2 linked regions of the Elephas maximus indicus genome follow. The protein of the gene in region 1 interacts with the protein of each later gene in a biochemical or structural test. Links are inferred from orthologs where the notes say so. Each region holds a gene or a part of one and is shown on either strand. Other genes may lie near its edges.

Region 1 (8,059 bases):
TCTGTTAGTCCCTCATTAACAGTCATTCAGTCCAACAAAATACAAATCTTGAGCAAAGTGAAACTGAAAATCTGCAAAAGATACATTTCACAAAGTTGATGGAAAACACAAAGGAAATGCTAGAATCCCAAGCAAAAATACTAAAAAAATGAGGCTATAGTAAGTATTAGAAGGGTTAGTAAATAAAAACAAAAATCAACAAGGACAATAATATGCTAAGTGTCACAAGAATGAGAACTGTTCAATTATTAGAGACAGAGAGGGAAAATAATAAAACTCTTAAATAGTTTGCAAAAATTCCCTCCATGTCCAATCATGTTATCACGTAACTTAGTATGAAAAGGTATGCCAAAAACAATCAACACGATATATTTTTTCATTCATTCTAAAAATCCGTACATATTTAATAACAAGTTTTGTTAAATAAAATGTATAAGCTTACATAAATTTGATTTCATTTTTCAAGTTATAATCCCAATTCTACTCCCCATTCCTTAACAGTTGCCTTTATGGATAACATTACAAAGAATGGGAATTCCAGAACACTTGATTGCGCTCATGTGGAACCTGTACACAGATCAAGAGGCAGTTGTTTGAACACAACAAAGGTACACTGCGTGGTTTAAAATAAGGAAAGGTGTGCATCAGGGTTATATCCTTTCACCACACTTATTCAATCTGTAGGCTGAGCAAATAATCAGAGAAGCCAGACTGTATGAAGAAGAATGCAGCTCCGGGATTGGAAGAAGACTCATTAACAAACTGCGATATGCAGATGACACAACCTTGCTTGCTAAAAGTGAGGCAGACTTGAAGTACTTATCAATGAAGATCAAAGACTGCAGCCTTCAGTATGGATTACACATCAACACAAAGAAAACAAAAAATTCTGACAAATGAATCAATAAGCAACATGATAAACGGAGAAAATATTGCAGTTGTCAAAGATTTCATTTTACTTGGATCCACAAATCAATGCCTATGGAAGCAGCAGTCAAAAAATCAAAAGATGCATTCACACCGCATTAGGAAAATCTGCTGTAAAAGACCTCTTCAAAGTGTTAAGAAGCAAAGATGTCACATTAAGGACTAAGGTGCACCTGACACAAGCCATGGTGTTTTCAGTTGCCTCATATGCATGCGAAAGCTGGACAATGAATAAAGAAGACCAAAGAAGAACTGATGCCTTTGAATTATGATATTGGCAAAGAATACTGAATATACCATGGACTGCCAGAAGTAACAAACAAATCTGTCTTGGAAGAAATACAGCCAGAATACTCCTTAGACACGAGGATGGCAAGGCTTCGTCTCAAGTACTTTGGACATATTATCAGGAGGGACCAGTCCCTGGTGAAGAAAATCATGCTTGGTGAAGTAGAGAGCCAGCAAAAAACAGGAAGACCCTCAACGAGATAGACTGACACAGTGGTTGCAACAATGAGGTCAAGCTTAACAACTGTGAAGATGGTTCAGGACCAGGTGGTGTTTCATTCTGTTAACACTTATGGTCGCTATGAGTTGCCATGACTTGCTGACACCTAACAACAATAATTCCAAAACAGGATTACTTGTGTTCCTGAATATGATAACGTGCCAGTGGACTACAGTATGTTCACACCAAACTCTGCAACGAGGCAGGGGCTGGGGGAAGGGGGTTAAAGGAAGTGAAGGAGGTGGTTTCAGACTGGAGACACTGCTGCCACTTACCAGAAACTCCATTTTACTAGAGGAAATATTTTTTTTCCTGTCAAAAGTCTTTCATTGTTATTCTGGATGTAATTTGTAAACCAAGAAATAAACTAGTTTACTATGAGAGGTTTGCTGTTGACTTTCAAATTCTACGAAGAAAAGCAAGCAAATTCCCCCGAAATTGTGGTCTCTATTCTTAGCAATACCCACCTTCAGAGAAGTGTGACTGCAAGCCAGTGAGCAAGAAGGCAGAGAGGGGAAGAGAAAGCTGTTCAGGCCACATCCACACCAGCAGTCCAACATCCCAGATCACCCAGCCTAAGTGCTGTGTAGAATAAATTAAAACTTTACATTCATTGCACAATATGGGTTATCTGTTATTTCAGAAACTAAATGCAAAAAAAGTATTACAGTGTGAAAATACGAATGTTTAAATAAATTCCTAATGTTATTAGCCTCACCATCTTGGCCCTTCATTAGCAATGAAATGTATTGAAACTGATCCCTAAAAACAGTCTAAATTTCTCACCACAGCGAAGTATCATTAATAGTTAATTCTGCCCCTAAACAGAACAAAGACACTTACTTACACTGAGCCTGGTGGGGAAGACAGAAGAAGTAACACAAGTTCTTGGATGACTGTGAGTTGTTATACTCAGGATGAGACCCAATGCTCTGTTCAGCATGAGGCCAAGTTTCAAAGTTTTCTCTGTTCTACATTTAAAAAAACAAGTATCATTTGTAAAATTTTCTACTATATCTCTTTTAGAAATTATACCAGAGAGTAATGCTGAGAGAATGGAAGTATTTTCATAATCCTAACTTAAAGATAATTCTTTAAATACTACATATTAATATCCAACTGGAACTGCTTGAGTCTCTAATGTTGTGACTCACAGGTCATACCTTATGCCAACTTAATTTCATTTACAATTTTCATATATGAAGGACTGTTAGTTCACCAAGGTAATGCCTGTTTTCCTCCTCCTCTGATAAACCAAGGCCCATGGGAACATCTCAAAAGGAAACTTCACTATATTAGGAGGTGGCAAAATTATTGTGCAAGGCTTACTTACATGTGTAAGAAAACAAGCCTTATCAAAATATGCAGGCAAAAGAGGAAGTTTCCCTGATGCCCAACACACATTTTCAAACCTTAAGAACTGAAATTGATGAGATACAGCCTTAACTTGACCGTCCTCCTATATTCCCTGAGCACCAACAGGTGTTGGGGCAAAGAGACTGGTTACAAATATATATAAGGCTAAAATCCCTAATATTAAACATTTACCTTGAACTGTCAGGCTCATTTAATCCTTTATATGAATTAACTAATTAAATTCTCACAACAAAGGGAAGAGGTAGGTACTTAAGATAATTTCCATCTGACACATGTGGAAACTAAAGCCCAGAAAGTTTAAGAAATTTGCTCAAGATTCGAGAGCTAAACAATTCCATTTACAGTAACACCAAAAACAAATAAATAAAATACTTAGGAATAAATTTAAACAAGGAAGTACAAAACTTGTAAATGGAAAACTACAAAAGATTGCTGAAAGAAATTAAAGGCCTAAATAAATGGAAAGGCCTCCGTGTTCATAAATTGGAAGACTTAATATTGTTAAGATGACAGCACTCCTCAAATTGCTTTACAAATTCAAAGCAATCACTATCAAAATTCCAACAGCCACTTTGGCAAAAATGAACAAGCTAACCCTAAAATTCATAAGGAAATGTAACGGGCCTTGAATAGTCAAAACAATCTTGACAAAGAAAAAGAGGACTCACACATCTCAACTTCGAAAAGCTTGAGTGATCAAGACAGTGTGGTACTGGCATAAAGACAGATATATAAATCAGTGAACTAGAACTGAGAGTTCAGAAATAAACCCCTGTATCTATGATTAATGTCAACAAGGGTGCCAAGACCAATCAATGGGGAAAGAATACTCTCTTCAACAAATGGTGCTGGGACAACTTGGATATCCACATGCAAAAGAATGAACTGAACACTTACTTAACTACCTAAACAAAAATTAACCAAAAATGGATCAAAGGCCTAAAGAACAGTCTTAGTTATCTAGTCCTTCTATAACAGAAATACCATAAGTAGATGGCTTTAACAAACAGCAATTTATTCTCTCACAGCTTAGGAGGATAGAAGTCCCAATTCAGGGCACCAGCTCTAGGGGAACGCTTTCTCTCTGTCTGCTCTGAGGAAAGGTCCTCATCCCCTTTCAACATCTGTGGGCCTGGTGTTCCTTGGAGATCGCCATGTTTCTTGGCATCAATCTTCTCCTGGGTCTAGGAGGTTCTTGGCACAGGGACCCCGGGTCCAAAGGGTGCACTCCGCTACGGGCTCTTCTTTCTTTGTGGTAGGCAGGTCCCTCCTCTCTGCTCCATTCTCTCTCCTTTTATCTCTTGTAAAAGGAAAGGTGTGACTCAAGCAAGGGTGATGTATGCTACCCTAATCCTGCTTCATTAACATAACAAGCATAATTGGATCTCATTAACAAAACCTAATCCTGTCTCATTCACATACAGAAGTCAGGATTTACAACACATAAAATGGAGCATAATCAGATCACAAAATGGAGGACAACCACACAATACAGGAAATCAGGACCTAGCCAAGTTGACACATATTTTGGGAGGGCACAATTCGATCCATGACATTCTACTTTATGGCCTCCAAAATTCATGTCCTTGCCACATGTCAAACACATTAACCCCATCACTAAGTAAAAGCTAAAACTATAATATCCTTATAGAGGGAAACATAGGTGTAAATCTTCATAATCTTGCATCAGGCAATGGTTTCTTAGGTATAGCACCAAAGCATAAATAATAAAAGATTAAAAAAATATATGGAGTAAATTGGACTTCATCAAAATTAAAAATTTTGTACATCAAAGAACATTATTAAGAAAGTAAAAACAGAATGGGAGAGAATATTTGCAAATCAGGTATCTAATAAAGGTATAGCATCCATATATAAAGAACTCTTACAACTCAACAATAAAAAAAAAAAAAAGAACAATCCAGTTTAAAAATAGGCAAAGGATTTGACTAGGCATTTCTCCAGGATATACAAATGGCCAACAAATGAAAAGATGTTCAACAACATTCGTTGTTAGAGAAATGCAAATCAAAACCACAATGACATACCACTTCATTCCCACTAAAACCAAAAACCAAACTTGCTGCTGTCCAGTCAATTTTGACTCATAGCAACCTTACAGGACAGAGTACAACTGCCCCATAGAGTTTCTAAGGAGCAGATGGCAGATTCAAACTGCAGACCTTTTGGTTAGCAGCCAACCACCCTCTAGGATGATGACTATAATAAAAAAATACAGACAATAAAAAGCGTTGGAACCTTCAGGCACTGCTGATGGGAATGAGAAATGGTATGACCACGGCAGAAAACAGTATGCTACCTCCTCAAAAACTTACTCATAGAATTACCTTATGACCCAGCAATTACACTCATAGGTGTAATACCCAAGAGACTGAAAACAGATGTTCACATAAATACCTTTACATTAATATTCACAACAGCATTATTCATAACTGCCAAAAAGGGGGGGGTGTCTATCAACCAATGAATGGATAAACAAAATGTGGAATATCCATACATGAAAAGGAATGGAATACTGATACATGCTACCAAATGGATAAACCCTGAAAGCATTATGCTAAATGAAAGATGCCAGACACAAAAGATCACATATTGTACAATTCTATTTATATGAAACATCCAGAATACATTTCGATACAAACACAAAATTGACAGAGACAGAAGGCAGATTAGGGGTTGACCAGGGATGGGAGAGGGGAGACTGGGGAGTATCTGTTAATAGGTACAGGGTTTCTTTTAAGGGTAATGGAAATACTATGGAATTAGATAGGCATGATAGCTGTACGAAGGATCCCTGGTAGCACAGTATTTAAGTGTTCAGCTGTTAACTGATAGCTTGGTGGTATGAACCCATCATCCACTCCACGGGAGAAAATGTGGTTTTGGATGGTTCCACAACATGTAAATATACTCAAAACCACTGGATTGTACACTTTAAAATGTCGATGTTTATGTTATGTGAATTTTATCTCAAAAAAAAAAAAAATTCAGAGCTAGCAAGTAAAAGAACCAAGATGAGAATCCAGGCATTCTTCTAACTCCAAAGCCTAGCTCCATAGCTAGCTGTGCTACAGAGACTGCAAGGAGGAAATGACCTATCTGTCCGGAGCAGGGAGTGGTCAGAGGCATTTGGGCTTGGTTATGTAGGTTATGGAGGACCTGCCAGGTGAAGAAAGTAAGCTGGAGTCCATTCCAAGCAGAAAAACTGCACAAGCGAAGCTACTGAGAATCATTCATGTGGGCCATCTAAGTCAATGTGGTAGGTGACAATAGTGAGGTGAACACTGATAGCAAATGAACCAGAGATACTGGCAGGGACCTGTTCCTACAGCATCTTATATATCACACAAAAAAGTCTTGGTTTTATTTAGTAAAAATATAATCAGCTCTACAGTCAAAACTAAAATAAGAGATTCAATAGGTAAATGAGATCTAAAAGCAAATTTTAAAAATTTTATGTGATAGTGGGAGAAAAACATTAAACTTTTCATGGAGCTTTTTATAAGGCTTGTCGATTCACCATAATTCATTTTGTGTCTGTACGCCCACACAGTACCCCTCAGGAACTTTGCCAATTATCACTTTTCTCATTTGTAAATCCTAAAATTCTCACCTCAAGCCTCAGTTCGTCGCTTATTTCTATAAAAAATCTTTCTCACAGCAGCAATAGTAAAGTCTACTTCCAAGGCTTTGTTGCTTTGCAAATGTTATGAAGTACCACAGACACTTCAGCAAAATAGACCAAGTCTATTTTATTCTTGTTTTACGGTCTACAAGGTTCCCTACCAATTACATGAACATGAAATCCAAACTAGTTCTGCATTTTAATAAACAGAAGTCAGCGTACAGGACCATAAACACATCAAGAATACAAAAAGTCTTAGGTCTGTTTTATCAAGTGACCTTGAATCAGTATCCCAGAGTACACACTCTTCGTCTTTATCATCTTTAGCTGTACACTGAGTCGCTAGCTTCTAGTCACTTGAAAACAACATTTTAAGCATGAAATAATGCCTGAAGATTAATAATATACTAGTAATAAATAGCAACAATAACAGTAATAACTAACATTTTATTATTTTCTACCAGTTATGTGTCAAGCACTCTTCTGTTTGCTTTACATATAATAACTCTCTTAATCCTCCCATAACCATGCAAGAGAAATATTATCATTACCCTCATTTTACAAACAGGAAAACTGAGGCACAGAAAGGCTAAGTAACTTACCATGGGTCACAGAGGTAGTATGGCAGAGCAGGGATCTGAACCCAGGTAGTCTATGCCTAGGGTCTGAGCCCTCAACTGCTGTATGCCAGCAGATGAGACTATTGTATTCAACAAAATCTCTTCAACAAAAAGGATCCTGTTCTTTTAGGGCTTGCAACTTGGAGGGCACGAAGTGATGAATATAAATACGTAAAATTACAAAACAAACTTAAATACTGCTATACAAACATCAGCTACAGGAACGATTACACTGAATATGGGTAAATCCCAATACATACAGATATAGGTAAAGTTTTATTATTTCATAGGTATACATGCTGGGAATAAGGGGAAAAAAGATAAAAATCACATCCTTGCTTTCAGTTAAAGAGGTAAGATGGCACAGGATTCCAGAGAACTTTCAAAAAGGTAAGAGACAAGAGAGAGCCAGAAAATCCCAGACATAGATTCTGGAGCTCCATAAGGCTATTTCCCACAGGAACAAGTATTTTCCTCCTTTAATTTTGGATCATTTTAACCCATATATCTAAATAAAATAATTACACATTTACGGTTTATACATTTTTAAATACATCTATCTTAACTGTTGACATACTATATTGGTTTTTCATGAGTATTACCACCACCATCACTTCAGCGTTACACTAATAAATGGCTCAAAAGAAGAAAAACAGTTGTACTACACCAAATGAAATTTCACAACCACCCCCCTAAGGGGCCAGTAAATTAACCCTGGCTGGAAATAAGGGGAAAATGAATGCAAAGAAGCTAATATTTAATAAATGCACATAACAAAGCACTGCAAAACACTTCACTTACATTAACAATTTTTCAAAATCTGTACCATTTTCCCAAACATTATAGTTTCAGGAACTAAGGCATAGACTGAGTAACTAACCCAACAGCTCATAGGTATTTTCATGAAAATTTCATTCCATATGTCATAGACATTTTGTCCTTGGCCCATGTGTCTTTATCTTACACATATTGAAAATCTCT
Region 2 (8,054 bases), on another chromosome or scaffold:
TTTTGGGAGAATGACAATGGATTTTATCAAGTGTATCTTCCCACTTATATTAAAAAAAAAAAAAATCAGGGTCACTAACCTGTACTGCTCTGGCAGTTGGACAGTATTTTCCTTTGCAGCTGACAGGTCCTGGATATGAGTATTGTAAACAGCTGAAACGAAATACTTGCATTAAAGTATATGGAAAAAAGGACATTTTTAGTGTTAAAAACAGAAACGTGAATGAAAACCTATCGGATAATCATCTTTATAATTTGGAAACTGAAATCTACTAGATCTAATAATAATTCTGGCCCATTATCTTAAGCTTAAATAACTAAAAAAAAACAAAAAACAAAAAACCTTTCCTCTGAATTCAGTGTTTTTCTTATGGAGCTAAAATCTGGCAAAACTGGGGTTGAAAAAAAAAACTCAAAGAATTATTCTGAATTCCTATAGAAAGTCCATTAACACCAGTCTGTGTTGAAAACGACAGAGTTAGAACAGCCTATCAACATCCTAACTAAACAAGCTGGTTTCCTAAAGTTCAGTGGCATTATGTCTCACATTATTTTTGAGAACCTTGACTCACAGAAGATGTATGAACGATTGTTATTATGTACATTTATGTACAGTATAATTACAACACACTTCTATTAAAACCAAGCTAATTTTAATTAAGTACACTGTAGAAATAACAGATTGATGAGTAAAAACAGAATACTTGTGCTCAAGTAACAAATGAATTTGGATGCATAATATCCAATAATCTTTTGGTAACAATTAGTAAAAGTACTTGAATCTGAATAATTGTTCAAGGAAATACATAACTTATAGGGTCACTATGAGTTGGAATCGACTCAACGGCAATGGGTTTGGTTTAATGGATCATGTAACATGGAACGATCAGAAGTAAACTGGAACTCTTCACCTTTTCCACAGTGAAATCAAGCCAAATATGCTACGAGACACAAACGATTCAAGTAAATTGCAGTACCCACTAAGATCTCTCGTTAAAATGGGAAAATCGGAGAGTGTTTTGTAGCAAATTAGTATTTCCCAGCAAACTTTCTACAATTCTTAAATAATCTAATTGTAGGACAGTCTGATTTCACTGTCACAGTGATCTTATTTCAAACCAACAAACGGGCATACAGAAAGCTTGTCTCCATACCTATACCAAAAAAAAAAAAAAAAACCCCAGTGCTGTTGAGTCGATTCCGACTCATAGCGACCCTATAGGACAGAGTACAACTGCCCCATAGAGTTTCCAAGGAACACCTGGCGGATTTGAACTGCTGACCCTTTGGTTAGCAGCTGTAGCACTTAACCACTACACCACCAGGGTTTCCTCCATACTTATAAAGTACTCAAATTCATGTTCTCAACTGTTTTAAATCCAGGTTATATTGCAGTTTACCACAGCAGGTGTCCTCTTCCAAAAACTAAGGCAATATTCATTTTCTAGTAGACCATGGGCTGTGTGCAATGAGACCAGCCAGTATATGGGTGTATGTGTGAAAGGGTGGGTGATTGTCCCTAGGCTGAGCAGGTGACGAAGGGAGGCTAACTGGACTGTAGAACCTGCCTCCACCTCTGCCTGTCACTCAGCTTCAGGCCTCCTTTCCAAACCTCAAAAAGACCAAGGTTGTTACTCCTCTCAGATTTCTGCAGTTGCTATCATCTCTTCCTACACGTCTTTGCAGGGATGGCTCAAGTTTCAGCTCCAATGTCACTTCCTCAGAGAGGTCTTTGCTGACACCCGATCGAATGTTACGCACTGCCCCTCTTTATGCTATCCCCCGGGGATCATGTTCCATTATACAACCTTATTTTACTTTTCATCAAAGCAATAACCATTATGCTATTTTCTCTGCTTCCCACATTAGAATGTAACTTCCAAAGGAGCAGAGACCCTATCTTAAGTCATGACTGCATTCCCAGGGCCTAGGTCAGGACCTGGCACGTAGTAGGTAAAAGACTGACTGAATGAAATGAACTGGTTTTTAAAATCATCAGGAGGCCAAGCATCAGGAATGAAGGACATAGAGCAGCCGGAACTCTCATGCCCTGCTGGAAGAAGTGGGTATTGGTACAATCACTTTGGAAACTAGCAGCATCTACTAAAGCTGAACATACGCATCACCTGCGATTCAGCTGTTCCATTCCAAGGGATATACCCAACAAGAATACACACATATCATCAAAAGGCATAGACAAGAATATTCCTAGCAGCATTATACAGCCATGAAATTGAAGCAACTACAACTCCATGCAACTATGTGGGGGAAACCTCGGGAAATATAGTTGAGCTTAAGAAATAAGACACGAAAAGAATACAAACTATATTGGTTTTGTTTACGTAAAGCACAAAAACAGACAAAAGTCATCTGTGTTGTTAGAAGTGAGAAGAGAGGATAACCTAGGTAACTGAAAGGAGACATGGCAAGGCGACTTCTGGGATGCTGGTAATGTCGTTGCTTGATCTGGATGTTGGATCCGTGGGTATATTCTCTTTGAGAAAATACATTACCCTCTACATTTATGATTTGTGCACTTCCCCGAATATACCTTATTCTTCAGTGAAAAGCTCAAACGTTAGTAGTTCTTCTGAAGAAGCAGCATAAGGAAATCAGAGCCTCTTGTACCCCACTCTTAGACCAATCCAGCATTTCATCTCAGCACAGACATTCCCCAAGAGGGATGGTGGATGGAATAGGAAGACAGGCCTGACTTGGCCATGCAAAAGGCTTTGGCTTCTATAAGATAACCCACTACAGGCTCTGGATGTCACAGATACTGGAAATCTGGAAGACACACACCACTCAGTCCAGAGGCCACACCCAAGAAAAACAGATCATTGAGTTGCAGTAAAAACAATGATACCTAAAACCAAACCCATTGCCCCGTTGAGTCAGATCTAACTCATAGCAACCCTCTGCACAACAGAACGAAGCACTGCCAGTCCTGTGCCATCTGACAATCGTTGCTATGCTTAAGCTCACTGTTGCAGCCATTGTGTCAATCCATCTCCTCGAGGGGTCTCCCTTTTTTTCTATAACTCTCCACTTTAGGACAAAGTAGAACTGCCCCATAGGGTTTCCAAGGAGCAGCTGGTGGATTTGAACTACCCACCTTTTGTTTAGCAGCCAAGCTCTTAACCACTGTGCCACCAGGGCTCCAAAAAACAATGATAGCAGATATTTATTTCACCAATATGACAGAAGGCTGGGCCAAAGCTCTTGACACATTTATCTCATTTAATCCTCACAATAACCCTAGAACAATGCTGGTACACAGTAAGTGCACTGTTGGTGCTCAATAATAAATATTTGCTGAATGAAAGGTAGCTGCTATTATCACTTCCAAGGTATCCAATGTTATACAGAATGACAGAGCCTTAACTGACACTCTGAACATCCAGATTCCAGTGACTATGCTCTTAACCACTTCTCCTTACTGAGAAACTGGATAATGTCAATAACACATGCCAATGAGAGCTCACTTTTGGTATGTTTATTATAATAAGTTAGGTTTCCTAACCCATCGAGTGGCCAACTGAATCTCAATTTCTTTACCCACAAAATGAGGATAAATTTTTAAACACCCACTGTGTGCCAGGAACTATTCTACGATTGTTGAAGATTAAGTGAAATGCATAATGATAAATTCACTCCCCCACTCCCTTAATCCCCCTTCCATTTATTTGTAAGAGGCAATGGTTTTTTTTTTTGTTTTAATAATATCATGAGTGTTACAGAACTCACATACAGTTAACACAAAATTTTGCATTCCATTTAAGGGGATTCATAAACCTTTTAAAGTCCCAATACTGTCCTCTGTTACAGTTAAAAGCTGTTGCAGAGGGGTTTGGCTAACTATGCTCGCACATCCAAAACCTCCACTGGCACTCACAAGCACCCAACAAAACAAACAAAGGTCATTTTTTTACAGACAAGATAAAATTAACATATCCAATCACTGCGTTTCACAGATAGTAGCCCAGAAGAAAACAATGCTTTTTTTCCAGCTGACGCGTTTTGCCCTCTATTCCGGGATCAGCCTAGAATAATTGGGAAAAGCGCCATTAAAATTTTCTTCTGGAAAAAAAAAATGTGAATTAGAGCCCAGCAGTAAAGAGCAACTAATCCAGAAAAGACCTGGGTACTAAAAGCGACCCAGACTTAAAAATGTTTTTGTCTGGGCAAAATCGCTACATCCATAAAATGGGGTAATAACTTTTGCTGTTCCGCCTTCCCTGTAGTGCAACACTGAGGCTCAAAGCAGGAAACAGATGCGAGTGCATCACAAGGGGCAACATAGACGGAAGGAACAGTTCCGAGCATTGCTGAGAGTCCGAGGGCGCTGCTGTAGGCTTCCGGCTTCCCCAGTGCCAATTCTCAGTCCCTGGCGCAGCAGGAAGCATTTTAGGAGTTGGGATGGGGAAAAAGACGCCTTTTGCCGGGGTTAGAAAGGTGCCTGGCACTTAACGGGGGCTTAGTAAATGTCTGCTGAATGAATTAGTGAATATGTGAGTCTGTAGAGAACACCCTCAGTTCTAGCGGCTCAGGTCTGCCTCCAGCCCGCAGACTCACCCGGAGACCGAAGCTTCCTCAGGCTGGGCGCAAGCCCTCTGCTTCCCCCCGCCTCCGCTTCAGGAGCTCCTGGTGCTGCAGCAACTCTAAATTGCCCCAGCTGGACGCCTCCTCTTACAGCCACGAGGATCGCGACCAAGCCGAACGCCACCGGCAAAGCCGATGCCTCGCTAAGGACGGCAAGAAGAAGGTGGAGAAAAGAGAATTTCGCGCCAAACGACGTAGTCCCGCCCCCAGGCTGTCTCCGTGTTACGACACCAACCAGCTCTCCCGTCCCGCCTACGTAGATTGGACGCATGACGTACGTCTGCCGACGTGCAGCAGCCATCATTGGTTTGGGCGGGGTTTCTGTTCACGGAAGTTAGTTCCTTCCACATCAGAGTTTCCGGTTTCAAAATGGTCGCCTCGGAGAGTTAGTGATTTTTCCATCCCCATCGAGTTTTTTTTTTTTTTTTTTTAACCTGGATGTGACGTATTAAAGGACCCGACGGAAATAGAGCTGAAGGCTTTCTAAGATGGCGAACCGTACGGTGAAGGATGCACACAGCATCCACGGCACCAACCCTCAATATCTTGTGGAGAAGATCATTCGGACGCGAATTTATGAGTCCAAGTACTGGAAAGAGGAATGTTTTGGACTTACAGGTGAGCGGGAGCGCGCGCACCGCCTCGGCTGCTTGTGGCCCACCCCCCCTGGCTGGGCGCTGAATGGGATTGGCCCCTGGGGGCAAGACTGGCTCAGTGTTGGTGGGTAGGATTGGAGAGGAGTGTGTCATGAAAAGGAGCCCTGGTGGAGCAATGGTTAAGCGACAAGTTCGAACCCATCAGCCGCTCAGCGGGAGAAAAGATCTGGCGATCTGCTCCGTAAAGATTTCAGCCTAGGAAACCCTATGAGGGGCAGTTCTACTCTGCCCTATAGGGTTGTTATGAGTCAGAATCGACTTGACGGCCACGGAGCTTTTTTTTTTTTTTTTTTTTAACCATTAACGAGCTATCGCTTAAGAAATCAGACTGCAAGTTCTTTAGGATAAATTCTGTATTAATATATTCAGCATTATAGCTAAACAATTTATAGCTAGGCACTGTGCTGAGTACTAGAGATACAGGTATATGGATGAACAAGACAGACACAGTCAATACTATTAATGAGTTTATAACTTAGCAAGGCAGGAAGTATGAAAAACGAAAGTATGATGAGTAGTTTGAAAGAAGCAGCAGAACGCAATAGAAATGTACGACAAGGGAACCTAACCTAGCGTTGGGAAGGAAAAAAACCCACTGCCATCCAGTCAATTCTGACTCATAGCGACCCTAGGACAGAGTAGAACTGCCCCATAGCGTTTCCAAGGCTGTAAATTTTATGGAAGCAGACTGTCACATCTTTGGCCTGCCGAACGGCTGCTGGGTTTGAACCGTTAAACCTTTTGGTTAACCACTGCGCCACTAGGGCTCTGTTGGGAAGGGAAGTGGTTATGCTTTTCAGAAAAATCGGTCTTTTTGTTAGGAGCTGAGCTGCCTCACGTAGGTACTTAGCGTTTTATGTATATTATCGCATTCAATCCTCACTACAACCCAGTTGAGCTGACAGACTCAAAGAGAGATAAAATGACTGGCCTAAGATCACACCGCTATTGTTTGAGTATTGGCAACAGTGTTGGGAGGTTATTATTGCCATTCTGTGGGAGAGACTTACTCGAGGTTGTGTAGCTATTGAGTTTTTTTTTTTTTTTTAATTTTTAATCCAGCAATTTTTTCCCTAGCATGATGGTGATGAGCGTGGACTCTGAAGTTAGACCGCTTAGATTTAAATCCAGGCCCTGTAACTTTTTGGCTCTGGGCCTGGAGCAAGTCACTTAACCTTTCTTAGGCCTGAGTTTCCTTATCTAAAAGTAGAGAACAATGCTAGAACTTAGGTCATGGTTTGCTGTGAAGATTAAATGAGATAATATGAAATGCTTAGCAGAGCACTGGGCATATAGTAAGCCCTCAATTAGATGCTACTATTGTTATTTTTATGGAGCTCTGGTGGCACAGTGGTTAACAGCTATGGCTGCTAACCAAAAAGTCAGCAGTTAGAAGCCACCAGCTGCTCCTTGGAAACCCTGTGGGGCAGTTCTGCTCTGTTCTGTAGAATCGCTATGAGTCGGAATTGACTCAGCGGCACCAGGTTTAGTTTGGTTTTGGTGTTATTATTGTTATTAATATGCACTTGCTCTCCTAATACTAAACTGTTGGTGAGTGTTCTGGAGCACCAACACGTGAACTGACTTCTTTCCACTTCACACCAGGATAAGCTTAACCCTGAAGTATCTGAGATGGCACTTGATTTGTTTTTGTTTTTCTTTTTTTAGCTGAACTTGTAGTTGATAAAGCCATGGAGTTAAGGTTTGTGGGTGGCGTTTATGGCGGCAACATAAAGCCAACTCCCTTTCTGTGTTTGACCTTGAAGATGCTGCAGATTCAACCCGAGAAGGATATCATTGTAGAGTTTATCAAAAATGAAGATTTCAAGTGAGTGTGATGTTGACTGGCTAATACAAAAGCATCGTTTTGGACATCCCAGAATTGGACTTTGGTTAAGAGGAATGAACATAGTATCTCTCATTTCCACAGAGACTTCCGCTCCAGGGTTTTGCTCTTGAGTCCTTGGGTTTGTGTTTTGCCTGTTCTGATTGAATTGATATTCTCCTTTACTTTCTTAATCTTGGTAACTTCTCCCCCAAAAAAGAGGATTTCTTTACCAATTCACTGAACATACATTAAGCAGCAGTGAGGATCTAATGTGTTGGTAGGCACTGGATACTTTAGGGTGAAGAAAACAACATAGTATGGTAGATAAGAGAGAAAACCATGGTGTTAGACAGGTCTGAATTTTTATCTAGACTTTATCTCTAATTAACTGTGACCTCAAAGAAGTTGACGTAATTTTCTAAGCTTTATTTTCTTTGGAAACCCTGGTGGCGTAGTGGTTAAGTGCTACGGCTGCTAACCAAAGGGTCAGCAGTTCGAATCTGCCAGGCGCTCCTTGAAAACTCTATGGGGCAGTTCTACTCTGTCCTATGGGGTCGCTATGAGTCGGAATCGACTCGACAGCACTGGGTTTGGTTTGGTTTTGGTTTTATTTTCTTTATCTGTAAAATTCGGATAACAATACCTACTTGTAAGATTGATTTTAAAGAAGATAATGCATGTAAACCACTCAACACAGCATCTCTTACGGGATAAACACCCAGGAAATGTCAGCTGCTGTAATTGTTTATCATTCATCATCAAGGAGCTTACAGACTACTATATGAGACAGAAATCATAGCTTATTACATGCCATCCTCTAAGGGCTTTTACCCTCACAACATATAATAATAATTCATTTAGCCCTCACAACAGCCCTGTCAATAAATGTTATCCCTATTTTACAGATGAGGAAACTGAGGCACAGAGAGTTTAAGTAATATACCCAAGGCCAAACAGCTAGTAAGTGGC

The links.
Region 2: of the proteins of SRPK2 (region 1) and PRPF38A, one has a biochemical effect on the other in vitro, tested with the Homo sapiens proteins (2 studies listed by BioGRID and IntAct). The link is inferred for Elephas maximus indicus from reciprocal best matches to the Homo sapiens genes SRPK2 and PRPF38A.

Annotation. Positions count from the first base shown.
Region 1 is NC_064826.1:44,370,974-44,379,032, reverse strand, and holds the start of SRPK2 (SRSF protein kinase 2), read right to left. Parts: upstream 3,056-8,059; 5' UTR 2,379-3,055; coding exon 2,283-2,378; intron 2,018-2,282; coding exon 1,903-2,017; intron 1-1,902. UniProt on the Homo sapiens protein: Serine/arginine-rich protein-specific kinase which specifically phosphorylates its substrates at serine residues located in regions rich in arginine/serine dipeptides, known as RS domains and is involved in the phosphorylation of SR splicing factors and the regulation of splicing.
Region 2 is NC_064821.1:95,523,656-95,531,709, forward strand, and holds the start of PRPF38A (pre-mRNA-splicing factor 38A), read left to right. Parts: upstream 1-5,029; 5' UTR 5,030-5,089; coding exon 5,090-5,219; intron 5,220-6,925; coding exon 6,926-7,085; intron 7,086-8,054. UniProt on the Homo sapiens protein: Involved in pre-mRNA splicing as a component of the spliceosome.